4 linked regions of the Tamandua tetradactyla genome follow. The protein of the gene in region 2 purifies or fractionates together with the protein of the main gene of each other region. This does not show direct contact. Links are inferred from orthologs where the notes say so. Each region holds a gene or a part of one and is shown on either strand. Other genes may lie near its edges.

Region 1 (7,371 bases), on a different chromosome or scaffold from region 2:
GGCGGGGGATAAGGGGTAGGGAATACTTTGGGTTTTCTATTTCATTTTATTTCTTTTTCTAGAGTAATAAAAATGTCTTAAAATTGATCATGGTGTTGAATGTACAACTATGTGATGATATTGTAAGCCACTGATTGTATACTTTGGATGAATTTATGGCATGTGAATATCTCAATAAAATTACATTAAAAAAGTGAAAATTTTAAGTCATATACATTACCAGAATAAAAATTAAAAGATAAAAGAAAGCATAGGCCTGTACAATTCAGTCAACTCTATTGTAAACAATGGATTATAGTTAATAGTACAATTATTAAAATATTTCTTCACGAATTATAACAAATGTATCACACTTAAGCAAAGTGTTAATAACAGGGTGTATATTGGGGGGGGAATACAACCTAAAGTAAACTATGGACCGTTGTTAATAGTACAATTATAATATTCTTTCATCAATTGTAACAAAAGTACCACACTAATGCAAAGTGTTAATAATGGGAGGATTATATGTGAACGCACATGATTTTTCAGTTAAAGTACAACTTCTCTCATTTAAAAATACATAAAACTATATTTAAAAAAAAGACGTCAATACACCTACAGTGGGGACTGGTTAGATTTTATACAGCTAAACACCATAAACAGACAGATGTGTAAGATCTGAATAGAAGGTTCTTCAGCATATTAAGTAAAAAAAACAAAAAACAGGATAGGTTATGCTCTTGAGAGCATAAAGGGAAGAACACACTGCGCTCACGTGTGCAATGAATCTGACCACATTCAGGTAAAATCTATCAATCTTTTTCTTGGGTTAAAGGACATTTTAAAAGGTACATCCTGGGTCACAGCGAGGCTCCACTGCTAATTAAGGCATGTGAGTCTGCAACACAGATTCACGGGCACCACTAAGAGGTGGACCAGAGGGGATCAGGAGGCTCGTGAAACCCCCACCACATACCCAGCAGGGTCAGAGTGCGGTCCTTCTCCAGGGAGCCATCCACGTGGTACTGGGAGTGCCTGATGAGGAAGATGTGTCGTGTGGCCTTGGCTTTGCAGTGGTCCAGTCTGGACGCCAGTTCTTCTTCTCCAGATTCCAGGTTTCTTTTCCGCAGGTTGATGAGAGACAGTGGTTCTCGCCTAATATTAAAATAGACTGCTTTGTCCCCATGACCCCTGGTTACAACACACCTTCGATTATTTTCAACCACATGTTACTTCCAAATTGTCAGACTAATTGGGAAGAGCAATCTTTCAGACTTCAGCGTGCATGGGAAGAGGTCATGGCCTCCGTCACTCATTAGGGGCCTTGCCATCATCACCAGGGAACCCAGCCTCTCAGTGCACAAGTCACTCATCCCACAGAGTGAGAACCAGGTCTGTTCCAGGAACCGTTCACACAGTGAACAAAACAGACAAGTGTATGCACAGGCAATCTGGGTTCCAAGAAGGAGAGACAGATGGCTGCCCAAAAAAAAAACAATGTCAGTAACCAATAAATGATACAGAGAAAATGAAACCAGGTATTATGAAGGAGTATAGTGAGGAAACTAGGTATGGATCTATGGAAACTGTACTACCTTTCCATTTTTTCTCTCAATTTATAACTGTTCTAAAATAGTTTACAGTTAAAGGTAAAAAGAAAATTTTTTTTGAAAAGATATCAAAATTCCTGTCAAAACTGTACTCACAATAAACAATACTCCTGTGCCTGGGACTGAAGTACCAAATGTGAGGAGAGGAACTGGGTAAACCATTCCACACCAGCCACCCTTGCCCCTTGGCCAAGCTCCATCCAGTAAAAATATGTCAGCAACACAAATACTATTTTATTTTCTAATAGATACATATGAAAAGTAAATACAAATGGGTGAGGGTAGGCCACAGTGGCTCAGTGGCAAAGCTCTCGCCTGCCATACCAGAGACCCGGGTTTGATTCCCGGTGCCTGCCCATGTATTAAAAAAAACAGAAAGAAAGAAATTGGTGAAGTTTCAGTAATATTTTATTTAACCCAATATAACAAAAACATTATCATTCCAATATATAATCAATATTGACGTTTTTTGGGTACTCCTTTGGTTTTCAAATTTAAATAAAATTAAAAATATGTTCCTAAATCACAATGATCACATTTTAAGTGCCCAAAAGCACGAGACCAGCGGCTGCGAGAACAGCGGCTGCGACACCAGACCCTGAGCCCAGAGACTCGTGTTTCAACTCACAAGACCTGCTAGCCACATCGTCCCACAAACAGGAGGTTGATTCACACAAATCCCTCTGCAGAGTCCCCCTTTAGGGTCAGATCACTCACTGCCCCAGCATGCAATCTATCTTAGGACTCGGACGTCCAACTCTTTCTCTTAGCTGTCAACACATCGGGCCAATTCCCAGATAAAAAAAGTTGAAAACAACAAGGGTGTCAGCCTTCCAGTGTTCTGAGCCTCTGTCCTAGACTAAAACTAACCCCTCGGGGAATGGTGAGGTGCCGCGCTCTCCTAGTTTCACCAACTGCTTGAAACAAGGACCCTGTACACACGCGAAAGCTGAGGGTCGCCCAAAATCACTCAGGCTGCGTGCTGCCCTCCCTTTCCTGAAGCTGACAACATAAACCGTAAGACACCTGGGCCGGGGGCACGAGGCAACCGCTCCCACCTGAGGAAGAGAACGCCGCCCGGCAACAGGCCGGCTCCCTCCGCGCGGACGCTCTCCGCGCTTCGGACCCCTCCCCCCCTTCCCCCAAGACCCATCCAGAGGCCGCCCCTGCCCCTTTCCCCGGAGAACGGCCCCATCCCCCTTCCCCGGGCGGCGCACCTGTCCCAGTTGGGATCCCAGACCCCGGGCCCGGGCCGCACTCCTACGGCCCAACCCGGAGGCTCAGGGGCGCGTGGCCCCGCGTCTCCGCCCCCGCGGGGCTTCCCCACAGCTACGGCCGAGAAGAGCACGGCAGCCGAGCCCCCGGCCAGCCCGCAGGCCGCCAGCTTCAGCGCCTGCCGGAACGCCATGCCGACCCGCTCCCGCGCAGAGCGCCGCGCATGCGCTCACCGGCGCCGACGGCGCACCGCGAGGGACACGCTTCTCCCCGACGTTCGCTTCCGCCCGGCGCCGGCGGCTTCCGGCGGCGGGAAGAGGCGGCCTCGCCCTGCTCGCTTCACCGAGACCCTCTCGGAACTTTCTGCGGGAGGCCCGTGGCCGGTACCCGGCGCCCGGCGCTGCTGGACCAGAGAGGCGGAGCAGACTGAGCGATGAGACGTGGGGGTGGTGGGCCAGACGCAGGCAGGGCTGCCGGGGCGGCCCTTGAGCCGTGTCCTGAGGGGAGGAAGGAGGGTGAGGGCGAAGCCGCAGCGGCCGGGCCTGCTCCGGTACCGCGGGGTTTAGTTTAAGTGAACGGGGACCTCTGCTGGCTTTCAACTTGGGACGAGACAAGATCGGCCTTTTTTTTTTTTTTAAATCACTCTGGTTTTGGAGAATGAACTCATCCTGAGGTAGTTTACAAGTTTAACGTCAGTATTGTGTAACTTTATGCATGCATGTGTATCACTTTATGCATTTAATGTGTATTACTCTGTATATTTGTGTGCATCACTCTATAAATTTTTGCATTTATAAATATATATAAATGCAAGCTTTCTCGAAGGAAGAAAAACAGATGTCTGCTGTGCTGCTAATGACGTCCAGGCTTAAGCATATCCGAAGATAGTGGCGTGCAAAACAGGATGTCTGCTAGACCTGTTCTTGTCACATCCAGGAGCTGCCGGTATCAGCCAGAAGAGCTCTGCTGTTCTCCCCTGCAAGTTCTGTTTCTGTACTTTTCCAGTGTTTACGGCCCGTTACCTTAGTAACTCCCACCCTGCTCACTAGCCTATAAATCTGGAAACAAAGACTATTCGGCGCTCAAACTTTGGACAGGAGTCCTCTGAGACTGCTAGGGCAATAAAAGTTTTATCCACTTCTCAGAGGCTCTGGTGCTTTCTTGGGTGTTGTTTGGAATCTTCCCTACTTCAATCCCACGGAATTACCCAGGCCTCTGCTGAAGATGATGTATTAAACCCATACATTTATATCTACCCCCTCCAGAAACACTACTAAAAGGACAGTAAAGTAAATAAACACTTAAATCCATAAGAACAAAGAAAAATCCACAAGACCAGGCAATACCAGAGATTGCTGTGAACAAATTTTGAAGTAGAAAAGCAGAATTTTATTGACCTGAGAAAACTGAACACCTGCTTACCCAGAGGTAAGCCAAGAAGCAAGCTCATTTAGTCCAGTGGTTCCTGAAAAGACTCAGGAATTAGAAGCCCTGGTACCTTTGAGGAGGGGGGTGGGGGGTGGAAATAAAAGCAGGAGTACCAGCTGGACATCTGCAAGGAGCCAGCTGCCCTCCACACCCTTTTCTTCGCTGGTACTTAAGGTGAAAACCTCATCTACACTGTTCATTCCAGAGGACTTGAGCCAGAAGGACTCCAGATTTGAGGACACCAGACATTAGCAGAAGATGGAGTACAGAAATAAAGATGGTGTGCCAGTTTGAATCTCTTGTAGATCCAGGAAAAACCATGTCCTTTAGTCCTCATTCAGTATTGCTGAGTGGGATCTTTCTGATCATTTCCATGGAGATGTGACCCACCCAATCGTGGGTGGTAATTTTTGATTAGATGGTTTCCACAGAGATGTGTCTCTACCCATTCAAGGTGCTTGCTTGAGGCAATCATTTTGGAAAAAGCTTTAACAGCCCACGCAGCCAGAGACCTTTGGAGTTAAAGGGAGCTTCATGACTCGAGAAGCCTGGAGAGAAGGCTAGCAGATGTGGCCACATTTACCAGTTGCCTTTCCGGCTGAGAGAGAAAGCTGAACCAAGGCGTCTTTCCCTGCACACCTTAATTTAGATATTTTCATGGCCTTAGAACTGTGAACTTGCAACTTTACAGAATCCCTCTTTCTAAAGCTGTTGCATTTCTACTATATCACATTCCAACAGCTTACAAACTAGAACAAATGGGATTATGTGAAATTCACGTACTGAATAGTAGGACCTCCAATCCCTTTCCTCCAGTTGTCCCTAAGGATTTGGGCCATTAGTCTTACACCATGCTCCACCACTACCTTCCCCCAAGCAGAAATTAGAAACTTCTTCTCTGGAGAAACTGAACAGTGAAAGAGAAAAGACCTTAATGATTGGCAATGGGTGATCCTGGACAAAACTGAAGCCCACCATTTAACAAATGCAGCCCCTGCATGTGGAGATTAATATTTGACTAAATATGAATTGACAATCAAAAGTCAGCCATTTGAAGAAATCCTATTTATGTGACATCTGAGACTCAGAGTTAGAGCTCTGAAGCTATGGAAGTCAGCAGTTCCGATACAGGAACTGTTTTAAAAAGTTGAAAAAGGGATCTAATTTTGAGTAGATATATGAATGATATGAAGATACTAAGGTAGTTTAGAATACAAGGTAAAGGATGATATCATCTATATTTTAAAACTTCAACTTCTGTGTGAGAACAAGGGGAGAGCTGTTTATTTGGTGCGAAATTTATATTTTGGGTAGTGCATTTCCTAATTTAACTTGTATGGTCAGTTTAGTTGAACACCATAAGTACATTGAATCTTGAATAGGGCATGAGCTCTTGTTTGTTTCTACAGGTTAGTGTGATGCCCTGATACATCCCAGAGTAATTTGGGAAGTGGATCAAGAAGTATTTTCAACGTTCTGAGAAATGATCATAATGATGAATATACAACTATGTGATGATTTTGTGAGTTATTGATTATATAACCAGAATGGAATGATCATATGATAAGAATGTTTGTGTTTGTATGTGGTTATGTTTCATTAAAAAATGATTATGGTGAAGAATACACAATTATGTCATGATATTGTGAGCCACTGATTGTATACTATGTATGAACTGTATGTTTGTGAAGATTTGGCTATAAAAATATTTTTAAAAAATAAGAAGTATTTGCAAGGTCCCCTTGGGGGACTGGGGAGAAAGGAGGAAATATTCAATTTCTCCATTTGGACAATTTCTGATATTCTTGCAAGCAGTGGAGACAACCAAATCAATAGGCTAAGCCTTCAATCTTGGGGTTCAGCCCCATGAAACTTATTCCTGAAAAGGAAAAGCTAGTAAGCCTACTTAAAATTAGGCCTAAGTGTCATGCCCAGAGAACCTCTTTTGTTGCTGAGGTGTGGCCTTTCCCTCTAAGCCAACTCAGCATTTGACTTAGAGAGAACTCACTGCCCTCCCCGCTACATGGGACATGACTTCCAGGGGTATAAATCTCCCTGGCAACATGGGGCAGAAATCCCAGGATGAGTTAGGACCCGGCATCAAGGGATTGAGAAAGCCTTCTTGACCAAAAAGGGGAAGAGAGAAAATGAGACAAAATAAAGTTTCAGTGGCTGAGAGATTTCAAACAGACTCAAGAGGGTATCTTGGAGGTTATTCTTACACATTATATAGATTTCCCTTTTTAATATATGGTATATTGGAGTGGTGGGAGGGAAGTACCTGAAACTGTTGAGCTGTGTGTTCCACTAGCCTTGATTCTTGAAGACTATTGTATAAAGATATAACTTTTACAATATGACTGTGTGAAAACCTGTGTCTGATGCTCCTTTTATCCAGGGTATGGACAGATGAGTAAAAAAAATATGGCTATAAAATGAACAAATAATGGGGGGACATAGGGTATAATAAAGTGGGTAGATGGAAATACTAGTGGTCAATAAGACGAAGGGGTAAGGGAGTTTTTTCATTTTTCTTTTTATTTCTATCTCTGGAGTGATGAAAATATTCTAAAAACATTATCATGGTGATGAATACAAAACTATGTGATGATATTGTGAGCCACTGATTGTACACCATATATATAAAATGTGTGTGAAGATTTATCAATAAAAATATTTTTTAGAAGATTTAGTAACAGGAGGTAGCTTCTTAAATTTTACATCTAAAGCATAAGTAGCAAAAGAAAAAAATAGATAAATGGGAACTCCTTAACATAAAAGCTTCTGTGCTTCAAAGGACTTTGTCAAAAAGAAGAGGCAGCCAACTCAATGGGAGAAAATATTTGGAAACCACATATTGGCTGAAGGCTTGAAATCCTGTGTACATAAAAAATTATACAGTTCAACAACAAAGAACCCAGTTATGAAATCAACAGAGGATATGAATAGATACTTTTCTGAAGAACAAATACAAATGGCTGAAAAGCACATGAAAAGATGCTCATTTTCACTAGCTATGAGGGAAATGCAAATCAAGAAGACAATGAGATAGCAACTCTGTGCCAGTTTGAATCTGTGGTGGATCCTGGAAAAGCCATGTCCTTTAATCCCCATTCAATACTGCTGGCTGGGAGCT
Region 2 (7,219 bases):
CTCTGCAGAGTTGAATAGTTGTGACAGAGACCATATGGTCCCCAAACTTTGAAAATATTTACTTCCTGGCTCTTTTCAGAAAGTTTTTCAACCCCTGGTTTAAAGTCATAGAGGTCACTTTGGTTTCCTCTCTGGAAATGTTTGGCAGTGGCTCCGGCCCAGTTACCTGTCTGGGTGCTGTGCTGATCCCCCGCAGGAGCAAGCACATCTCTCTCCCCATTCGCAATGGGAGCTGCTGCCCTTTCTTGTAACTTGGTGGCCCTTGGCCTTTTAGTCTGCGGAGGCCGGCTGCCAGACCGAGGTTTCTTCTCCTTGGGGCCTTGCAGAGTCTCCTTCTTGGTAGTTTGTTGGGACCTTTTCAGTTTGCTTCTCGTCTGAGTGCTATTTGAGGCCTTTTGTGTCTTTTTTTCTTCTGATACTTCCTTGTTTCCATTCTTTTTCACCCTTTGGAAAAAGCTGGCACAGAGTTCTTTAAAATCATCATCAGACTCATCCATCATGTGACCAGTTTTAAGGCTTTCAGGCTAGTTCCAGGGGAGAGAGAACTGATCTGGGTTGCATATACACAGATGAGAAAGTGAACCCAAGTACCAGGCCTCCTCCAGACTCACAGCTTCATTAGGGTTCCTCTCTACTTTTCACCGAGAGTCTGCACAATTGAGCAAGAAATGCTGCTTTCCCCTCCATCATAATTTAGAATGTCTTTCTTCAAATTGGGCCCATGGTTAAACATGTTTTAAACTTCCCTTTGTTAAAATTCATATTTGAGAGAATGTCTTGTTGTCCTTTAGATGTCTCTGAGACAGAATAGATACAAACTTGGTGCTCAGATGATTCTCCACTATCGCCACGGTGATGAGGAAGGCTTGGCCCACTGAATTTCATATCTGTGGAAAACCAAAAGCATCTATTTGTAATTAGACAGCTACTGCAATTTGATGTTATTTCTCTCAGGAAGGTACATATGGGATATGGGAAAAGTCTTCAGATACTAATACACCATCAAATACTCAGGTATAGACTGGTTAACAGGCTAATCATCCTACGGGATATCATAGTACAACAGAGAAAGATCTGGGAACCTGTCATAGCATATTCTTCCACAGGCAGAATAACACATGGGTCATCAAAGAGTATTATTTTTACAAAAATTTTGGAAATGAACCCCATGAAGAGCAGTCACCCCAGAAACAAGATGGTCCCCAAATCCAGAAAAAACGATCTCCTATGCTGATCTAAGGCCCCTGGCTTTAGAGGCTCTATTGGCTGACATTGAAATATTAGAGAAAGAATAAGCACTTGAACTCTCAGGAGAAAGCAAACAGTAGGAACACAGGAAGGAGAAGTGATAAAACCAATTTTTTCCAACAAAAAAGATGCCACTTTTCTCCATCCTCTCAGCCCAGCAAGGGCTTCCCCAACTCAAAAGATGAGAATGCTGCTCAATGCAGAGGTGGTGCAAATGAGTAAGATTATTTACTTTGGTAGTTTAGTGGGGCTCAAAAATCAAACTCAAATGATCCAATGGTAAAAAATTCTTAATTTCAAATACAATAATGCAATCTCCACTGTCCAAGTAACACAATCATTTAGTTTTCCAGAGCTGAGCAGACAAATATACCCAGAGTTACTCTGCATAGCTGGCTCATTCTTATCTTCGATGTCACCTCCTTAAAGAAGTTTCTCCTAATTCTTTATCTAAGTGGATCCCCTCCACCTCCCACCATCACACACTGTTTTCTCCACAGCATTTACCACGAGTTATAGACATGTGTAACTGATAACATTTATGAATGCTCACCGTGTGCCAGACATCATTCCAATTGCTTTAGAAGTCTTTAACAATTTTAGTCCTTACAACGATCCTAGAAGGCAGAATCTCTTGCCATCCCTCCTTTACAGCAAAGACACAGGTCCAAAAAAAGAATGAATAACTGGCTCAAATTCACAGAGCTTTTAAGTGACAGGGCCGGGATTAAGCCTGTGGAGGCTGCTTCCAGAGCACCTGTTCTTACATTCTTATTCATTTACTTATTATCTGTCCCACTGAACTGAGAACGTCAAGAGGGCAGACTCACCCATCTTATTTTGTTTTCCCTTTGGCTGATACATGTAATAAGTGCGCGACAAGGATTTCTTGAATGAATTAACTGCAAAGAGTTTGGCATAACCGGAGCCAAGAGAAAGTGCAGGGAGAAGCAGGGATCAGCTCACAAGGGACTGGAATGACAGGCTAAGCAAACTGAATTCTAGCGCGTCGGCTGTAGGAGAGGGTTAGAGCCCATTCCACCTCCTTTACAGCTGCACCGAGTCTTCGCACCTCTGCAGATACTCGTCTTAAAACAATCCATCTCCTATATGAGCTCAGTCAATATTTGCTGTAAGACGTTAACGGTTCCCGAGAGACTGGAGGCTTCCAGAGGGTCGGGACCATCTCCTACCCAGCTGAGGAGCTCCCGCGGCGTCTGGCCCACCGCGCGCGCGGATGAACGAATGCAGGGACGAGTACCCGGTGGACCCACCCCCTCCCCTTCCACCATCAGCCCGGCGACATACGGAGGGAGGCCGGGGGATCGGCCTGGGGAAGGACTGCCAAAGACCCTGACGGCTGTAGAGCCAGACGGAGAATTCCGATCGCGGTGAACCCTCCGGACGCCAGGAAGACCCTCGGGCTGCGGCCGCGGGAGGTGTCCGGGTGCACCTACCCTCTCTTCCTCCTGGCGGGTCCCGACCCCTCGCCGCCCGAACGGCACTCCGGCCTCTCCACCGCGGCTGCGGGCCCGCCGAGGCCAGGGAGGTAGAGAGAAAGACGCCTCTCCCTCAGGACGCAAGCGGGGCCCGAGGTGACAGCGCCTCCTCCTCCCGGGTGCAGGTCCCAGCCCCACAGCCCAGCCCCTCCTACTTCCGTGCACCGCGGCGGCGCTTCTCAACGGAGAGCCACGCGCCTGCGCATGCGCCGCCTGGCGCCCTCGCGGAGAGTCCTGTTTCTGCAGGCGCGGGGTGGTGTCAGCTTCCCATCGTCCTTTGCGGCCACGGGCGCGCGGGATTGTGTTTCCGGCTGCGCGGGGCTGAGTTTCCGACAGAGTCTGTGACCGCCGATCCTTGATGGTGTTGTTGTGTGTTGAGGGAAAAGCTGGGTGAGTTTTGGGGCGTTGTTGCAGTTTTAAGCTCAAGTTTGGTTCTACCACAGTTCACGTAGAAGATGTTTGGGGCTTCAGTGGGGCCCCTTCGGAGCTCCTTTCCTTGAGGAGCAAACAGGAGGAAATGCAGTGAGGGGATGTGAAGAGGCGCCGAACGCGGTCTGAAGGGATCCCAGGTGGATTGGGGGTGGGGGTAGCACGTGAACTGAGACCTGAAGGTGATATCCAAACTCATCAGTCTGGCTGGTACGAAAATTGTCAAGAATTTGAAGGAAAGATGAAGCTGTAGAGGTTCGTCAGGGGCTGAAATTCGTTTTACGGGTTTGAACTGCAACCGGACGGGTCGCTGGGTGTCGTTAAAGATACTGTTTTTAAAGGATGTTCTGGTCACAGCGTGAAAACGATTTGGGAGGGATGCAGGTGTGGTTCAGTGGTAAAATGCTCGCCTGCAACCCGGGAGATTCGGGTTCTATTCCTGGCCCATGCACCCAAAAAAAAAAAAACATTTGGGGGACCCAAGGCATGAAGACCCATTGGGAAGCGCCCTAACCTAAGTGAAAAGTAAGAGCGACCTGATTTAGGGGTTAGACTGTAGGGGAGTGGAGAGAATGGAAGAGTATTAAGGTGGTAGAATTGTCATGACCTGATTATCTCTTACAATTTGTAGGTTTCTGACCTGAGCATCTGGGTAGGCCCAGTCAACAAAATGAACACAGGAGTAGGTTTGGAGGAAAGATACTACGTTTTGGGTTTTGTGGGGTTTTTTAAATATGTTTTTTTATATACCATAACTTTCACCTTTTTAAAGTGTTCATTTAAGTGGTTTTGGTATATTCAGAGTTGTGTAACCACAACTCTTTATTCATCTGTTGATGGCGTTTGGGTCTCGCTGTTTCCGCATTTTGGCCATTAGGAATAATGCTGCACTGGACAATTGGCGTGGAAGTTTCTGTGTTTTTCCTTTGAGCATACACCTTAGAGTAGACTTGCTGACTTGTATTAAAATTTACTTTTGAGTGTTGAGTTTCAAATGCTAATAGAATTGGCAAGAACTTTTTCTGCTTGGAGCTAGGTGGTGTACTCTGTTGTCTGGTAACTTATCAGTTTGTAATGTGGTTTCCATACGGAATAGTTAAGTAGACAGTGCAGAGACATGGACTGGGACGATACAGAGGACAACTGTAAAGGTGTAGATTATTTTTTCCAGTCAAAGAAAATGAGGGATCTGACTCCAAATTAGTACTTAAATCTCTTAGAGGTACAATGAAGAAAGCTTCCTTGCTCACCCAGCACTCCTCACCCCCCAAAATCTGGCCGTGTTGTTTTTTAAGCAAAATGAGTTAAAGATATAGTTTAGAGAGGGGCATATTCCTTAAACCTGAGATTCTCAACTGACTGGCCCATGTTTTTGTGGTTTAATTGGAAACACTTGGACACTACTCTTAGCTCTGCTGGTTAAATCTTGGGGGAAAGTTTACAACCTGTGTCTTTTGAAAGTTTCACAGATGATTCTCATGGCCTCTAGATTAAGAATCTAGATGTTTAACCAACATCTAGATGTTTAACCAACATCTGCTGAGCAAATTCTGTGGGCTAAGTATAGAAGAGATGCGACGAGATGCTTAAAGGGGGTGAGGAGTAATTGCAATGTAGAGCTAGATGTGATTCATGATTCCCCCCTTCAAGGAGCAAAGTTATTCAGTAACTGGGGCAGCTTTCTGTTTGACCCAAGGTGAGCCATATGAACCTCCTGTTGTGATTTATCTCCAGCAGAAGCTCTGGATTTCATGCTTTTCCCCTGGAATTAGGCACAAGTCACCCAGTGTGACTAAGCTGAGGGACATGTTCCAGAAGCAGCATTACTTGAACCATGTTAGTTCAGAGGGAATGCTACTATATATTTTCTGCCAGCATGTGAGGCAGAAACCCGCAGAGCTGCCAAAACACTGAAGCCAAGGAGAGGATGGAACATTTCATATTTTAAAAGATTGGGATTATCCTCGTTATTTATAAACCTTAAATATTTGTCAGAAAGAGAAAAAGGATGCAGAAATGTGTGGAAAAATTTTTGCACACTGTAAAGAGTGTTAATACCAAGGAGAGATTCTTTTTCCGAGCCCTTATGAATAGATCATTTTGGGGTCCAGGGAAAGCAGGCAGAGGTTGAATATATATGCTGTGATTATCACTTCCTTACCCTCCTGGAGTATTGCCTTTTTGGAAGCTCTTTACATATTCCACTGAGTTAATGTTTAAAACTGTTCCGAGAAAGAAATGAAAGGCCCTTTTCCCAGTTCTTTGGGTAGCTTGTAAATCATAAAAACAAAACCTGCCCAGCTCCCTCTCATTTATCTTGGCAGCGATTGGGAATAGAGGACAGATTGAAAAAAGGAAGAATTGTCTTTTCAGGTCTGTGGTCATATAAACTCATTTATTTACTGTACAGTAATCCCATTTCCTGCACTGCCAACGTTCTTGAAAACAGGAGGGGAAATAACTGTTTTTACATGTCACGGTGTACAAAAAGTATTCTAGATTATGCTGCATAACTCAGTATCTTCTACCAGTAACACCCTTTGTATGAAGTTCTACTTAGGAGTTTTGCTAGATGGTTTTAAGGGGATTCCATGCAGATGTACTGGCCTCAGCTGCAAAACAGCTTTTCCCCTAGTATTGATAATGGTACTCATAATTTTGATGTTAAACTGTTCCATCTTGTTAAGATGGCAATATTCCCCAAAATGGACTAGAGATTCAGTGCAGTCACTATTAAAAATCCAACAGCTCTTTGTACTAAAACGGCAAAGCTGATCCTAAAATTCATATGGGATTGCAAGGGATCCCATATCTATAGATTCAACCATAAAAAAGAATGAAGTTCTGATAACATGCGACCACATGGATGAATCTTGAGAAATTTAAGTGAAAGAACCCAGACAGAAAACACCACATATTATGATTCCATTTATATGAAATATCCAGAATAGGCAAATCCATAGAGACAGAAAGCCAGGGCCTAGGGGGAGGGTAGAGTAGGCGTGATTGCCGTAATGGATATGGGTTTCCTTTTGGGGTGATGAAAGTGTTTGGGAATTAGATAGTGGTGATAGTTAGGCAATTGCAACTACTGAATGACACTGAATTGTATGCTTTAAAATAGTCAAGTTTATGTTTTGTGTATTTTACCACAATTTAAAAAAGAATTTTTTCTATTAGACTTTGGAAAGATCTTATTTAGAATGGTTTAAGGCCTTCTGGGTACATTTTCTTACTTTTTGCAACAGCACCTTTTAAAATGTTAAGCAATCCATGTACGATTCTATAAATATACTAAAAACCATAGAATTAAACACTTTTTTAAAAGGGTGACTTTTATGGTATCTTAAGTATATCAAAAAAGCTGTTTGAACAAATTATAAATAATAATAGGTAAGCCAAAAATAAAATTAAAAATCCATGCCTTCGCTCTTACAATATGCTTATTTTTAATGATTATAGTAATGGCCTTTTATTTAAAAAATAAAGTACTTCAAAAGAAAATGAATCGCCTCCTTCCACCTTGTTTTATTCCCCCCTCTCAGAGGTATCCGGTGTTATGTTTGATGTATATCTTTTCACTTCTATCTGTATTTTCTTATAAGAATATAAACTTTTTCTGTTAGGTATGCTTTTACAAAAATGGAGTCATACTATTCACATTCTGTATTTTGTTTTTCTTACATATCATGAACATTTCTCAAAATCATTAGAGAGAAAGCTATGTTATATTCCACATTCATTCAAGTATTCCCTTACTGATAAAAATTTGGTATCCTTTATAGTTTTTGTCACTATAGATAGGGCTGCAATAAACGTCTTGTACATATATTGTGTGTATTTGTATTTATTTCTATGGGAAAGAGTCCCAAACATAGGATTGCGGGGTTAAAGAGTATGTTTGTTTTATCGTTTTACCTTTTGTTTTGGAAAAGGTAATACAAGCACATTGTTAAAAAAAAAAAAGTTTTTCAGGAACATCAGAAAAATAAAAAAAGCTCTTCTCCCTTTTGGCCCCCAGTTCCCTAGACTCTCAGAGATTT
Region 3 (7,970 bases), on a different chromosome or scaffold from region 2:
TGTATAATATATCATGACCACTAAATAATTTACGTTCACTGAAGCAAAAACAAACAAAAATAGCAGACAAACAAAGAAAACACTAGATATTAGCAAACCTTTCTGAGATGATCAAAGACAGAACCACTAAACGGGTCACAGATATAAAGCGATCTATCATTCTCCTTTATAGTCAATGCCTCTTCTTCTGTAATAATCTGAAGATATTCTTCTGATTGGAACTCTTTTATTGACTGAAAGAAAAATAAAATATGAATGCACCTGAAATTAGTCACCTGTATTTAAGTCCTATCAACTCTGTCTTTAAAAGCCATCTCAAATCCAGCCTCTCTGCACCTTAATTGTTGCCACCCTACTTGTACACTATCATCACCTCACCTAGACCTCTGCAGTAGCCTCCCTAGTGGTCTCCCTCTCCTTTCCTTGCCCTAAATCAATTCTCCATATAGCAGCTAGTAATATTTTTTAAAAAACAAACAAGATCATATCACTCTGCTCAAAATCCTCCAATGGCTTCCCACCAGACTCAGAATAACAGTCTATGAGACCAATCTGGCCCATTTGTCTCCCCAACCTCACTTTCTACCTGTTTCCCTTCTTGCTAATTCTAGCCAGTCCAGCTTTCTAGATGAAACTGAAACAAGCTAAGTACAATCTCATTTAGAGGCTTTGCTCTTGTTCCTGCTGCCTGTAATGCTTTTTGACTGGTTTGATCCCTCATTGAAGCTAGGACTCTGATCAAATGTCACCTCCTCAGAGATGTCTTTCTTGACCGTGCTTTCTAACATCATTCCCTCATGTCTTTGGTCTGTTTTATGAAACAAATAAGATGGACACTATGTATATAATTTTTTGCCTCTCATCCCCCTAAGAACAAAAATTTCATGATCCATCTTATTTGCCAATATATCCTAGCACCCAAGAAGCACTCAATATTTTCTCAACAAGTTTCGAAGTCCTTATGTTAAATACTTAGAGTGATCCTTTTAAAATGATAAATCAGATCATGTTATTCTTCTGATTAAAACCCCCTAGTGGCTCTCCACTCTACTGAGAGAAAAGCCAAAGTCCTCACAACAGCCCACAAGGCCCTACAAGGCCTCTTCGCCCTTACTCTCAGAAGTATCCTTTAATATACTTTCCCTACTCCCGTTCACTCCCTATAACCACACTAACCTTCTTACTATTCCTTAAACAGATACTTCAAGCCCATATATCTTCCCATGGGCCTTTGCACTGGTTGTCTCCTTGCCTGAAACCTTCTTTCTCAAATATCACATAACTATCGCACCACCTTCAAGTTTACTCAAGCATCACCTGCTCCATACAACCTACTCTAATCACACTATTTAAAATCCTAACTTTCCGTTCTCCTTCCCCCTAACAAACATCTTTTGGAATTGGCTAACCTGTTGTGATTTTTTCCCCCTCTTTCCATAAAACTTAGAATCTCCTGCTAGAATGTAAGCTCTGAGAAAACAGGGATCTTTGCCTGCTCTGATCACGGATGTATACCAAGCACTACAACAGGGCCTGCAAATCACACACACTCCGTAAATATTTGATGAATGAATGAACTATAAGGAAAAACCTGCTACATCAGTGTTTCTCAAAATTTAATGTCCACAGGAATCACACAGATGATCTTGTTTAAATGCAGATTCTAATTTCTAAGTCTGCAGTGGGAACAGAGAGTTTTCATTTCTAACTCCCAGGCCACGCTGATGCTTCTGGAGTCTGTGAGCACCGAGGCTCCACACCACCTGTACACCCTATGTTATGCTGTACATAATGAAGCATGCATTTAACAATTAAACAAAAAAATGCTGATGTGTAACCAATACAAAATTGAATGAATGCTTTTCCACACACAAGGACCATTGGTTAGGAGACAGAAGGTAACTTGATTTCCAAAAACTGCAAGTCAGCCACATCCAAGAGAAATGTCATAATAGTTTCAAGCCCTCCAAAATACACAATGATATACCTATCTATAGCAATTAAAAAATAGGTAACAATAATCTCTACATTTCATGGAGGCTATGGTAGAACTATTATGAAACATCTATTACTAAGGCAAAAAGAGCCCAATAAATCAAAAGTACTAAAAACAAGAAAATTAATTCACAGCGTCAAACAAGACATTTTCAACTATTCTTACCTCAAGAGCTTTAAAAAAACATTCGGAATTGTCTGGAGATTTTAAAAACTTCACAAAAAACGGTTCTTTGTCATTTCTGGACATTTTTGAACTGCCGAAATAAAGGAATCATTAACTAGAACAAAACACATCACATGTGAAATTAAAATTTTAGAACACCTATGTTTCTGTGCAAACAAGAGTTCCTAAGGATAGCCATTCTGGCCTTCCTATATATTTGTCCTGCACGTTTGTAAGGAATTTGGGTAAAATCAAGGAAAAAGATGACACCAATCCTAGCAATTCAGAAAACGAAGCTAAGATCCCCAAACTGAATGCTTCGAGGAAGGGCCCTTGCTGTGAGGGCTCTAAGTCCCCTCAGCAAATGACATCCGATTGCACACAGCTTAAAGATCCTCAGAGGATACCACGACCCTCAAGGATTGTTTACCCCTCCATCAAAAACGGATTTTTCCATATGAACAGGGAAGCCAAACAGCAAGATCAAAAAGCCAGAAAATCCGCGTCCCTGCTTTTAGGGAAAGGCCTGACTCCCGTCCAGCCGCAGTCACGTCCTCTCGGCGTCAAAGTCCCACCCGCCGATTCGAGGGCCGGTTGGACCCGCAAGAAAGGAAGGCCCCGCAGGCCCCAGGGCGCGTTGGGACCCCTGGTTGGGGGCAGGAAGGAGCCAGATCCTTACTCAACGCCGCACTCACCTCGATGGAGCCTGGGGGCCTTCAAGAAAGGAGTGGGGAGGCGCGCGGCCGGCAGGACAGCGGCGGGGGTCGGGCGCCACCCCGGGGCTCAGCCACCCCACCCCGCGGCGCCCCCAACCCGGAGGAAACGCCGGAGAACCCGGAAATTGCCGGACAGTGAACCGACTTTCGCGCCAACCGCGGCTGTGCGACCGCCTCTTCCGGCGGAAGTGACCCGACCAGCCGCTGCTACAGGAAGGCGGGAGACGTAGAAAGTGAAGTAGTTACGGCGCGCAGCCGAGGTGGGGCGCTGTGCCCGGCGGCCAAGGATTTACCCGGAGGATTGGAGCGAGGCTCCCGGATTGAGGGCTGTGCGGGACTGAGCGGGGCGTCACTCAGGGTTGGCCGAGCGCCCAGGATTCAGGGGATGGGGCTCACGAGAGCTTTTGGAGCGTTAGCGGGGGAAAAGGAGTGTTTTCCCAATAGACATTTAGTTTACACCTACCGTAGGGAGGCAGTGCTCGAGAAACCATGCATTACCATGCAAAACGACTTTGTGAGCCAGATAGTGGCATCTCCATTTTACAGATGTAACAAAATGAGGCTTATAGAAGTTATCTGATGTGTCCAAGGTCACGCAGCTAAGGTAAGGACTGGATCCAAGTCTTTTTGATTAGGCTTTTTCTCCTCCAACATAGCAGGAGTAAATCACCTCTTAGGGCTCTGAAAGCAGGAAAGATGGCAAAATGACTTGGATTACACAGTGAATGCATGGGTGGGAAGGTTTGCCAAGCTCTTCGATGGACTCTGCCCCCTTCCAAGGCTGTCCCTTTGTTTTTGCACCTGCCTGATTGTTGGGGAGGTTCTGTGATGGAACCTAATGGTAAAATGGAAAAGAGCAGAAAAGGAAAGAAATTGGACTTTTAGAATCTAAGCCCATGCATAACCAGTGAAAAACTGCTTAGCTAGTGCTAGTTCTTATTTTATTCTTGACTATTGAAATAGAGAAGATCATAACTTTGGATCTAGTAGTGTGAGATTTTAATGTCATGTGCTTAGTTTAGTTAAGTTTGTTTTTCGTTTTAGAAACAGTGAGGCACTTAGGTCCAAATGTGTGAATACACCCACAGAAGGTGAGTGAGAGTCAGTATCTTGGGGCTCAAAGGTAAAGGTCCATGGTTGAGGAGAGCCTTAAAAACAAAAATTACTAAAGCCGGGGGAGTGAGGGGAGAGAAGCCATAGTTACTTGTTAAGATGCACATCTGTCATATAGCTATGATAACAGTTAACATTTGTAGGGCATTTTACAGATGACAGAGGCTTCTGCTTGCGCTGTTTCCATTTGCTCTTTTCAGCAATCCTACAGTATGTGGGCATTACTGTCCCACATTATGTAGATGGGAAATCCAAGGCTTAGGCTGTGTGACTTGTCCAAGGCCACACAACCAGGGAGTGGCAGCACCCAGTCTTGAGAGCAGGTAGCGTGACTGGAAATCCTTCCCAATCCACCACACTGCTCTGGGTTCCATGCTGCCTGCCCATCTCAGTACAAAGGTCAGCAGCCCACAGAAGCCCATTTCTGGCATTTATGGGACTAAGTGGAAGCCTCACGGAGGAGGGAATTCTAGATGCTGGAGATGAGGAGGAAAATAAAAGCAACCCCTCAGCTTTTAGCAAACTGGAATTCCATAGCAGGGGGAGTCAACCTGGTCTTTACAATAGGAGACCGCCACCTACTGACAAGTTCTCTTTTTTTTTTTCCAGAAACTTGTAATTTTATTGAGATAGCATCAATGAAAGATAATTAGACCATCTTAGGATCCCAGATTATTTAAAAGATCTAACTAATTTAAGGCAGTCATAGAAACGGGAGAATGATGCACTACTATATGGTCTAAAAACGTTCACTGGCAAAAAGGCAGAACACTGATTTGCGAACAGTTCAAAGAAAATCTTACAGACAAAAACAAAACCAGTTCTGGTAGGGAGGGGGGACTCGGTGTCCTGCTGGCATCCGTGGCCCTCCCCTATCCCCTACTTCCTTGTCCCCTACCTTCAAAGGTGTGTGATTTGAAAACTACTTTCCTAAGTTAAGGGGCATGTGCGTCCGCAAATGAGGACAAGGATAAGCAAGTGAAATGTAGGCAGTGGTTCTCCAAGAGTGATCACCTGCATCAGCATCACCTGGAAACTTGTCGGAAAAACAAAAATTTGGGGGACTGACTAAGTCAGAAGCTGCAGGGAGGGCCCAGTGATCTGTGGTTTAACAAGACCTGCCCCGGAGATTCCGATGCCCATTAAAGTTTGCTTCAACAGCAATTCTTTGGAGAAGGGTGAGTGGGTATGTGAGTTGTGGTCCATGAATGAGGAATGTTTGTGATGTGCTCTCAGGCAGCCACCTCAGGAGCTAGAATTGGAGATTAACTTTCCCCTCACCTGCCCAACGAACCCTGTTTCTCTGGCACTGCTGTCACCTGCAGCCAGATGTGCCATATACAGTTTGAGATGGAGTAAGGGGAATTTTATATTGATCTGTGTTTAGAATGAAAAGCCTAGGAAACAAATGTGACAAAATTGTGACTTTTAAAATATGGGTAGTGGAAATATGAGTTTTTACTTCTTGTTATACCTTGCTGCATAGAAAAGATTTCTCAAAATGAGAAAAAAAAAACTAAAAATAGATGTTTTGAATGATATGACTTTATGTCTCAATTTCCAGTTCTGTGAATGAATAAACATATATGCATAAATAAATGTATAATTTAAATATGAAAATAGCAAAAGGTCTTTATTGCTGCAGAAATGCAATGGCAAAACATTTGTCTAAACGTTTGATTTCAGTAACCGGGAAGAGAGAATATAGGCTTACTGAGCTGCTAAGGTCTCGAAAGAGGAGAAAATTACAATGTCAGCGGCACATTTGGATACTACTGGCTGTGTTTAATAAAGTATTATAAGATAGAGAAAACTCAGGGAAGAATTATCCTGTTTTCAAACAAAAATAGAAGGGGTTTTCAAGGTTGGAAAAGCTAACTTCACGTGAACCATAAAAACAAGAGATATATCTGAGAGAGGTTTTGAGTGGCAAAGGTCCATTAAGATCCATGCATGTGGAAAAGATCTAATTAAGAGTGTGGTCCTTCAGGTGAGCTAAAATATATATATATATAATGGGGGGGATAAGGGGTTAAAAACAAATTGGGTAGATTACAACACTAGTGGTAGTGAGAGGAAGAAGTAAGGCATATATGGGTTTTTTTATTTTGACTTTTTATTTCTTTTTCTGGAGTGATGCAAATGTTCTTAAAATGATCATGATGATGAATGCACAAGTATGTGATGATTCTGTGAGTCATTGATTGTATACTTTGGATAGACTGTATGTTGTGAAAATGTCTCAATAAAAATATAGAGTGTGGTCCTTTCACTCCAGTAGATTAAGTGAGAGAAGGAGTTATGGGGCCAAGAATAGAAAGCAGACTTGAGAGTTGTGTCTAAGAAAGATATGATGTGGGTGTGGCTGCAAAGATATAGGCCCAGCCCTGCCATGATGTCCTGGTGGTTTTGCACATATCCTTGTAGGCAAAGGCTTGAATGGCAGTTTATTTCAGTCTTGGCAGAACATTTTGTGATCCTGCTAGAACACGAGAAGATGGAAAGTTTCTTAAGGAACTGCTACAATACCATCTCCCACTTGTCTCCATATCTCCCTCGAAGGCTGTCATGAGTTTCTCGTCACCTCCCAGGTTCTGCTGGGATAAGGGTCTGCTTGCCCACCCCACCCCCAGACTAGAACAGCAGAATATCAAACCACTTAGCTACTGTCCAGATTTGGCTCCTCAGCATGGAGTATCCCACAACTTACACTGTAGTTAATCAACCCCTTTTGTTTTGGTGTCATCCCTTTTGGTGTCTAGGACAAGAATCCAGAGCCCTGGCACTTTGGGCTTATTCTTATTTTCACTATCTGTGTAAGTAATCTACGGTCTAAATCTGTAAGTGGCTCATTACATCTTTACGCATCAAATCAGTCAGGCTTTGCCCTGACCTTGTCTTGTGAGTTTGACAACTACAAAGCAAAGCTAACTAGAAGCAAATGGATTTGAAGGTTACTAAGATTTTGAGATAACTGCTTTGCCAAGGAAACCTGGAGTACTCAACTGTGATACAACCTTTAAGCTTGCACAGCAGGAAGTAGATGCAGAAGTCATACAGCCCCCCAAAAGAGTAAACTCCCCAATGTTGTAAACCCTATCGGTGGGATATTCTACTCTGGTGTGCGTTCTACTGTGACTCCCAGAGTTTCCCCAGTGGCATTCAGCTCCAGTTTCCTACAGTGGCAAATGACATGTTAATACACCCTTTTGATGCCCTCTGTATTACACAGAGTTCTCCTGAAAAACGAAACAGATATATATATAATATTAAGAGATCTATTATAGGAATTGGCTCACATGACCATGGGGTTTGGCAAGTCCAACTTTCTTAGGGCAGGCCACAAGTTGGGAACTCCGTTGAAGGTAACCATGAATTTCCCAGGAGAGGCTGGCTGGCTGAATTAGTAATAGAAATTCTTTTTTCTGACTGCTGAAATCCTCAGTTCTCCCGTTGAAGCCTTCAAGTGATTGGATGAGACTCCTCTCATTGCTGAAGGAAATCTCCTTTGTTGATTATAGATGTAATCAGCCATAGACACAACTAATGATTTAAATCCACAGGATATCTGCACAGTAACAGTCAGGCCAGTGCTTGCTTGATCAAAGAATTACACACCGTAACCTACCCAAGCTGATACATGAAATCGACCAAAACACCTTCCTTTCCCTGTTTTATTTCTCTACTCTATTTACCTTTTTTTTTTTTTTTTGGTTTCCAAATATAACACTTAAAATGCCTCATCTAAGAGTCTGCTTCTGAGGAATCCAAGTTAAGACAGAAGACCCAAGATTTCTGATCACCCCCCTTTTTTGTTGTTATTTATTTATTTATTTTTTGTATGTAGCTTTATTTATTTTCTTTTTCTGATCCTCTATTGTACTATAGTGTTGTTGCTAAGAATTAGCTGCTCAGCCAGAGATGTTATTTTCCATCCCTTACATCTTGCGGGAGTCATGTGACTGAGTTATGGCCAGTAG
Region 4 (7,041 bases), on a different chromosome or scaffold from region 2:
GGTTTGGGCCACTTGTGTCACTGGGCTGAGTCCACTCTCCTGAAAACCCTGAGGCAGGTGTGAGTGGCCTCCTCACCCACCGGTAAGAGGTGTTTCGAAGCTCGCTGATGACCTGCGTGAGCTGCGAGTGGGTCCTGGAGGCATAAATGATCTTTGGGATGTCCGTGTAGCAAGCTGCCCAGGCACAAAGAGGCACAACAGGTTGTGGTCAGTCAGTGATGGGACCACAAAACTCTGAGTAGATGTCCTGAGTGTTTGCTTGCCACAGGGGCATCTGGCTAACTCAGTCCTGCAAACACTAGGACTCTTTTACCCCAGATAATTATTCTCCAGAAACAGTATATATGGATTTCTGTACTATCCTAACTCAGCAAAAACCTCTGACCCAACATTTACCCCTGGATGGCGAGATATGATGTGGCACCTACGAAATCTTCTATGCGTGGCTCTGCTCAAGGGACTGCAGAAGCCAGGGGCCTCACCCAACCCAGACTCCATTCTTCCCCTTTCCATCCCCACATGGCAGTCTGAGAGAGGGCCTGGGAAGAAGCATCACCTATGGTCTCTCCACTGGCGGTGGAACTCCCCCAAGACGAAAAGGCTGGATCAGGAAATAGCTCTCCCTGAACCCTCTCAGCAATCTTGTGGGCAGAGATGGTGTCTCGGAGATGCTCCCGCCAGGCCAATGTGGTGCAGAGGAGGCACAGCGTCTTCCCTGTGCCTGTGGGGCTCTCCAGAATGCCGCTGACTTTCTGAGAAGGGACAGGGATGATGTTATGGAGAGGGAGGGGGAGGGGAGACCAAAGAGACCCTGTGAGCCATGCACACCAGCCTGAGACAAGCTCTGCGAGTGGCTCTGTGGGCAGCAAAAGACCCCTGGCAACATGGCGAAGTCCATCTTACATTTTCTACTCTCATTCCAAAAGCCTAAGCTGATTCAGCCCTCATTAGCAGACAATTTTCAGAGCATTATCCAAAATGTGACAGTATTTTTCAACCTAATATAAATAGGAAGATGACTAATTAGGTGCCAACTCTCAAAATAGGAAATAGTTCTGTGATTCTGGTATTTGCACTCCCCTATCTGAAAGGAATCTGATTCTGATGGCCTACATACAAGCTCTCAGGTTAGAGTCCAATCAGGAAACTTAGGGGGACATGAAGGCAATTTCTGCAAAAGCTGAGCTCCCAGCTGCCACGAGAATGGAACTTGGGCTCCTCATTACAGAAGACTGCGCACACACAGCACTCAGGAGCCCATGGGTCACATGTGAACCAGTCACAGGTGTTGCTGATTGCAGAACCAGTCCCTAGCGGCTGGGGGAAGCCAAGCAGGGTACAAGAGACAGACTGAGAAACCAAGAAGAAAGCAAACCTGTCTTCTTCACCTTCCTGAACACATACAAGTTTTAAAGGCCTCCCAAAGTGAGGACTGACACTGTTTCCCTCTCTGGCTCTTCCTCCAGATCTCTGGATGGCTGGCTGCTTCCCACCATGCGCCTCGGCTCAAGCCTTTTCCTCAGAGAGGGCCTGAGTCACTCAAACATATCACCTTGTTTTTTGTGTTCACTGCACTTATCAACACAAGACAGTCCCTTTTTCTTTACTTATCATCTCTTCTACCCCAACTAGAACACAGGCCCTATTTACAACCGGGTCCCCAATGTCCAGGACAGTACCTTCCACACAGCAGGACCTAGTCTGAACAAAGTGGAAGGTAGAACTTCAGCAGGCCTTTATTGAAGCTGACCCATCCCCTGGGCCCAGTGTCTGTAGGGCTCATGGCTTTTACCTTCTGTAGACATTCCAGGACCTTGGCCATGTATTCCTGTTGACATTTGTACGGCTGGAATGGGAAATCCACTGTCACACCGTTCAAGGTTATCTTGGGCATACCAGCCTGTTCTCAGGAGAGCAGAGGTTGGCTGCAATGCAGACTGTTCAGGTGTGTGAGACAAAACACTCCTGAAAATCTCAGGTAAGCGATGCCAGCACCTGGAGCTGGGACACACGTTCTTCACAGGAATCCCTATGGCACAGACATAGGGACAACAAGACTGTTTATAAACAGCCTTTCTGGGTACCAGGCTACTGTGTCAGTCATCCCAAGAAGTGCCTCCCCATGGAGAAGGTCAGAGGGCAGGCCCTGTTATATACCATCACAAGGAGTTTCAGAAGTGATGATGCTAAGTTGAGTCAGCCCCGGCCACACAGAACTCCATTCCGCTTTGGAACAGGTGGCCAGTCTCACTGGGATGGTGAGAGCCCAAGTCGGGCTCAACTCTACCAACTTGCCCCATCAGCAATAATTCACTCACTTCCACAAGTGTGGGGGAGGCTGAGGACCTAGCAGCGCCCTCCCCTACCAGGGCCGGGAGACAGGCAGGGTGGAGCGTCTGACCCTCCTGCTCCAGCGTCTCCCCAGCAGTCTGCTACCTTTGCTGCGCGGTAGCCACCTGTACTCTGACCCGGGACTCAAATCTGTGTGACCCTGGACGAGTCGCTCAACTTCTCTACGCTCGGACTCGTCTAGAAACTGGGAATAACAGAGCAGACGCCTAAACTCGGAACAGCAGATTTTCCCTCCAGGGAAGGAAACGTACGGCCCGGTGAACCGACGAGCGCAGGAAAACTACCGGCCCCATAAGGCCGCCTGCCCGCGATCCCGAGGGCCAGGCCCTGCGGGGAGATACAGTTTCGGAAACCCAACCCGCCGACAAGCGCTCGGTTCGGTTCCAGGGTGTCCGCGGCGCGCGGCCCGAGAGGCTCCAGTACCTCACCCAGCTCCGGTGCGAACGCCGCCACCACGTTCTCGGCTATCAGCAAGTTCGGACTTGGCGGGCTAAGATGCGCAGTCACTGAAGCGCTGTATTTCCGCCCTCATTTCCGGTCCGTTGCGAAATGCTCTCGGCGGAAACCGTTCCCCGAGCCGCAGGATCCGTCTGTGATGTGAGCGACCCGGCGTCGCGCCGTCTTCGCTGGTCCTGAGCTCCGCGACCGGGACAGGCAGAAACAGTGCTCCACGGTCTCCTCCCTCGATGTCACCTCCCACCATGGCTTCTTCCGCCACCCCCCCGCAGGGGACAAGCCACCCCATTGCCAGGTTTTCCCCTCTTGGAGTGTGAGGGCGTCATGGAGGGCAATTGTGGCGGCCCAGGCCTGTAACCAGGCCCCTGAGAGCCTCAGCAGCTCCTGTCATTCCTGCAGGCAGCCTCCCCTACTGTCAATGCCAGGCCCCCGGTGATCCTCAGCACCTAGTGTGCGCTGGAGTGAACGGGAGGGACGCCCCCCCTCCCCAGGGGGAGAGGGGTCTACACAGTTGGTGGAATGTGCTCTCTGCTCGGCTGTTGCCACCAGAGATGTTTGTCTCAGACCACCCCAAAAGGCACCAGAAAGACTAATGCCGCAGCGAGAGCTCTGGCAAGCTGGAAACACTAATCAGAACTTCTGGTGGGTGCTACTGAGCGTCCAGAGACTCTCCTGCAGATCCCACGTGTGTCATCATGTCTGGGGAAGCCCTGGTATCCACCCCAGCTGGCCTGTTTGGGTGAAGGGACTTGGGATTGTCGATCATGGAATCTCAGAAGGGAGCTTGGAAAAGATAATGCTCATCAGGCACCAGAACCTGGCTTCAGGGCCATCCACTTAGGCATTGGTATTCCTCCTCCCAAGAACCTCTTACAGGTGAGGAAGCACGCACAGTTAGCAGGTCCCCAAAGCCAGCAACTAGCAATTTGAGGAGCCAGACTCCCACCTCTCCCCTTGGCTCCCCCCTATTCCAAGAGCAGTTGCTTCCATTCCCCAGAAGTCCAGGAAGGGAGGCCTCCTCCAGAGACTTGGCCGCTTCCCAGAGCTGAGGGCCCCAAGCTCCTGAGTAGATGCTGTACAGGTCACGAGGGGGTTCCTCTGGCTCCATGGGGACCCCAAGCAGCCTGCAGCCTCCTGGGATGAAATGCATAAATGCCATTTTACTAAACCTAACTAAACCTGAGAGATGAGGTATAGGGAAAACCAAAGCAGACCAGAGCCAGCTTCGCTTGGCAAGCCACTTACTCTGCAGGCTCTGGGGAGCTCCCTGAGCACACAGGGTGCCCTCTGGCCAGCAGGACCGATGTTAACCAGTCACTCCATGATTGTGCGACCCTTTGGGATGAGTACCATGGCGGGGGGGCTTAACCTTATCTGTAGGCCAGGGAAGGCTTCCTGGGAATCGATGCTGGCCTGGGGCAGTGTTGCTGGCACTGGGGAGGAGTCAGTGGTGAACAAGGGAGAGGCACTCCAATGTTGCAGAGCCCAAGGAAAGCCCAAGAGGTGACTGAGAGTTGCAGAAGCAGACACTAAGAGCCATAGAGGGACTGCCCGGCCAAGAGGAGGATCATCAGGGTGAAATGTGACTGTCGTGGAAGGTGCCTGATGAAGACCAGGCAGGGGAAAGTCTGCAGCAGGTCTGGGGTCTGTTGGCTGCCAGTGGCCCTAGGAGCTTTTGCCCTGGCCTGGGATTATCAGGGACTGCTGCTTCCCATCCTGGCCGGGCCCCAAGGACTGCCTCCTGAGACACCAGCTGCCCTGTGGGAGGTCCAGGTCCTCCTTCACGCTTCACTGCACCTGATCTAGTGAGTGTGGAGGACCAGAAGGTGGGGGGCACCTTGCTGGTCATGTGGGTGGTGGGCAGTAAGCAGACAACACAACATATTGGGGTTCATAGGTGCTTGCATGAACAATGACACAGGGTTAGGGGACTGAGAGTGAGAAGGGGCAGGTACTGTTTGGAATGAAGTCACAGAAAGCCTCTGAAGAGGTGATATGTGGCTATTTGCTGATGTTTTCCCAGCCCAGCACATAGCAGGTGCTCACTGGCTGAATGATCAGGTGACCAGCCAAGTGCAGGGTCTTCCTGGGAGGTGCTAGGCTTAGTTTCAGGAGCTCAGGTAGTGTTCTAGTTTGCTAGCTGCCGGAATGCAGCACACCAGAGATGGATTGGCTTTTAATAAAAGGGGATTTATTTCATTAGTTTTTCAGAGGAAAGGCAGCTAACTTTCATCTGAGGTTCTTTCTTACGTGGGAAGACTCAGGGTGATCTCTGCTGGCCTTCTCTCCAGGCCTCTGGGTTCCAAAAACTTTTCCCGGGGTATTTTCTTTCTGCATCTCCAAAGGCCTGGGCTGAGCTGCAAGTGCTGAGATGAGGTATGCTGAGCTGCTTGGGCTGTGCTACATTGAGCTCTCTCATTTAAGCACCAGCCTATTAAATCAAACATCATTCACTACAGCAGGCATGCCTCTTCGCTGACTACAGATGTAATGAGCAACAGATGAGGTTCACGTATCATTGGCTCATGTCCACAGGAACATAACTAGGCACCTTCACCTGGCCAAGTTGACAACTGAATCTAACTAGCACATGTCCACCCATTGTCAACTTGGCAACTATACGCATCACCTTAAACAATATTAAGGTGCAAAAAATTCTCTTCTAGCTGTGGACCTATGAATCTCAAAACAAGTTATCTGGTGCCAATATGCAAAAGGAGGACAGTCACAGGATCCATAGGGAGAAACTGGAAGGAAAACCATCAGGGCAAACACCATTGATTTCAAAGTCTGAAAGTCATTTATCCTTCGGCTTTAGGCACACTTCCTAGCCCACCCTATTCTGGAGAGATTTAATGTGTTTCCATTTATTTGCAAGACAGTTGAGTATTGTTAGGTGAAAGAAAAAATGTATGTTTTATTGTTTTTTATTTAGAAATTAGGTATGGTTTAGGGTGGTATGTATAGCTGCCAAGTTGACAAGGGGTGGACTGTCATGTGTCAGCTTGGTCAGGTGGTGGTACCTGTTTGTCTGGTTGGACAAGTCTGTTGCTATGAGGCTATTTCATAGAATTAAATCATGATCATGCCAAATGCATCCATAGCTGATTCCATTTGTAATCAGCCAAAGGGGAGTGTCTTCTGCAATGAGTAATGCTTAATGTGATCACTGGAAGCCTTTTAAGGAGGATTCAGAAGAGACAGGCTCTTCCTGCTTCAGCTGGCGAGCCTCTCCTATGGAGTTCATCCAGACCCTCCATTGGAGTCATCAGCTTCACAGCCTGCCCTGAAGATTTTGGACTCTGCGTTCCTGTGGTCACATGAGACACTTATAAATTTTATATTTGTGAGTGTTCCCTGTTGATTCTGTTTCTCTAGAGAACCCTAATACAGGTAGAAACCTGACCTACAAAGAGTCATTCCTGGGGAACATCTTTGAACAGCTGCTCACAAATTTCCTACAGTCGACCTTGGCAGGAAGTAAGAATCTGCTCCAAGACTTGGCATTGTATTGGGCAAGCATTCAGTGTATACCTACTATGTACACCCACCATATGTCTGGCACTATGCCTGGGCTTCCTGTGGTCCAGATGAGGAAGCAGGGACTGCAAGAGGACGTGCCCAAAGTCGCAGGAGTTTCCCACTGCACGCCCACACAGGAAGACTCTGGAGGTGTCCTGATCCCAGCACATGATGCTGGGACAGTCTCCGTGGACACCGCAGTGGCTGGCAGCCCTTTACGGAGGACACAGGTCACTTCCCCCATGATACACACCACGGGATAAACAGATCTGTGTGTGTCTTCTGCCTCTTGGCTCTTTCCCAAGCTCAGTGCCCAGGGCGGGTTGGGGGACTTGGGGTCAATATGTGTACTATGGCTGCATAGCCAGTAGCTACCCCTTTAGCAGCTTAAAACATTACCTGTGTGTCCGCTCACAGTTCTGTAGGTCTGGAGCCAGCTCAGAGCATCATCCCAAGGCCTAAATTAAGATGTTAGCTGGGCTGCATTCTTGCCTGGAAGCTCTAGGGAGGAGTCTACTTCCAGGCTCACTCTTGCTCCTCGCAAAATTCAGTTCCTTGGATCTTCCAGGTCAAGATGGCGGCTTAACAACGTGCACATTTTAGTTCGTCCTCCACACCAACTACTAAATAACCAGAAACAGTACAGAACAGCTCCTGGGGCCACGATAGTGACCAGATACACAGCATACCCAAGTCTGGACCAGCTGGACC

Evidence for each region.
Region 1: the proteins of SLX4 (region 2) and PGAM5 purify together in Homo sapiens (affinity purification with mass spectrometry; 4 studies listed by BioGRID and IntAct, with this or other methods). This does not show direct contact. The link is inferred for Tamandua tetradactyla from reciprocal best matches to the Homo sapiens genes SLX4 and PGAM5.
Region 3: the proteins of SLX4 (region 2) and TOPBP1 purify together in Homo sapiens (affinity purification with mass spectrometry; 3 studies listed by BioGRID, with this or other methods). This does not show direct contact. The link is inferred for Tamandua tetradactyla from reciprocal best matches to the Homo sapiens genes SLX4 and TOPBP1.
Region 4: the proteins of SLX4 (region 2) and RTEL1 purify together in Homo sapiens (affinity purification with mass spectrometry; 3 studies listed by BioGRID, with this or other methods). This does not show direct contact. The link is inferred for Tamandua tetradactyla from reciprocal best matches to the Homo sapiens genes SLX4 and RTEL1.

Annotation. Positions count from the first base shown.
Region 1 is NC_135331.1:1,082,968-1,090,338, forward strand, and holds the start of PGAM5 (serine/threonine-protein phosphatase PGAM5, mitochondrial), read right to left. Parts: upstream 3,017-7,371; 5' UTR 3,001-3,016; coding exon 2,810-3,000; intron 1,138-2,809; coding exon 959-1,137; intron 1-958. UniProt on the Homo sapiens protein: Mitochondrial serine/threonine phosphatase that dephosphorylates various substrates and thus plays a role in different biological processes including cellular senescence or mitophagy. Modulates cellular senescence by regulating mitochondrial dynamics.
Region 2 is NC_135349.1:53,706,591-53,713,809, reverse strand, and holds the start of SLX4 (structure-specific endonuclease subunit SLX4), read right to left. Parts: upstream 3,012-7,219; 5' UTR 2,903-3,011; intron 2,897-2,902; exon of another isoform or gene 2,706-2,896; intron 2,663-2,705; exon of another isoform or gene 2,557-2,662; intron 2,479-2,556; exon of another isoform or gene 2,079-2,478; intron 2,042-2,078; exon of another isoform or gene 1,802-2,041; intron 888-1,801; 5' UTR 501-887; coding exon 167-500; intron 1-166. UniProt on the Homo sapiens protein: Regulatory subunit that interacts with and increases the activity of different structure-specific endonucleases.
Region 3 is NC_135341.1:77,439,800-77,447,769, forward strand, and holds the start of TOPBP1 (DNA topoisomerase 2-binding protein 1), read right to left. Parts: upstream 3,007-7,970; 5' UTR 2,857-3,006; intron 2,277-2,856; exon of another isoform or gene 2,253-2,276; 5' UTR 2,246-2,252; coding exon 2,162-2,245; intron 234-2,161; coding exon 99-233; intron 1-98. UniProt on the Homo sapiens protein: Scaffold protein that acts as a key protein-protein adapter in DNA replication and DNA repair. Composed of multiple BRCT domains, which specifically recognize and bind phosphorylated proteins, bringing proteins together into functional combinations.
Region 4 is NC_135327.1:61,106,689-61,113,729, reverse strand, and holds the start of RTEL1 (regulator of telomere elongation helicase 1), read right to left. Parts: upstream 3,006-7,041; 5' UTR 2,776-3,005; intron 2,030-2,775; 5' UTR 1,895-2,029; coding exon 1,793-1,894; intron 753-1,792; coding exon 557-752; intron 175-556; coding exon 81-174; intron 1-80. UniProt on the Homo sapiens protein: A probable ATP-dependent DNA helicase implicated in telomere-length regulation, DNA repair and the maintenance of genomic stability. Acts as an anti-recombinase to counteract toxic recombination and limit crossover during meiosis.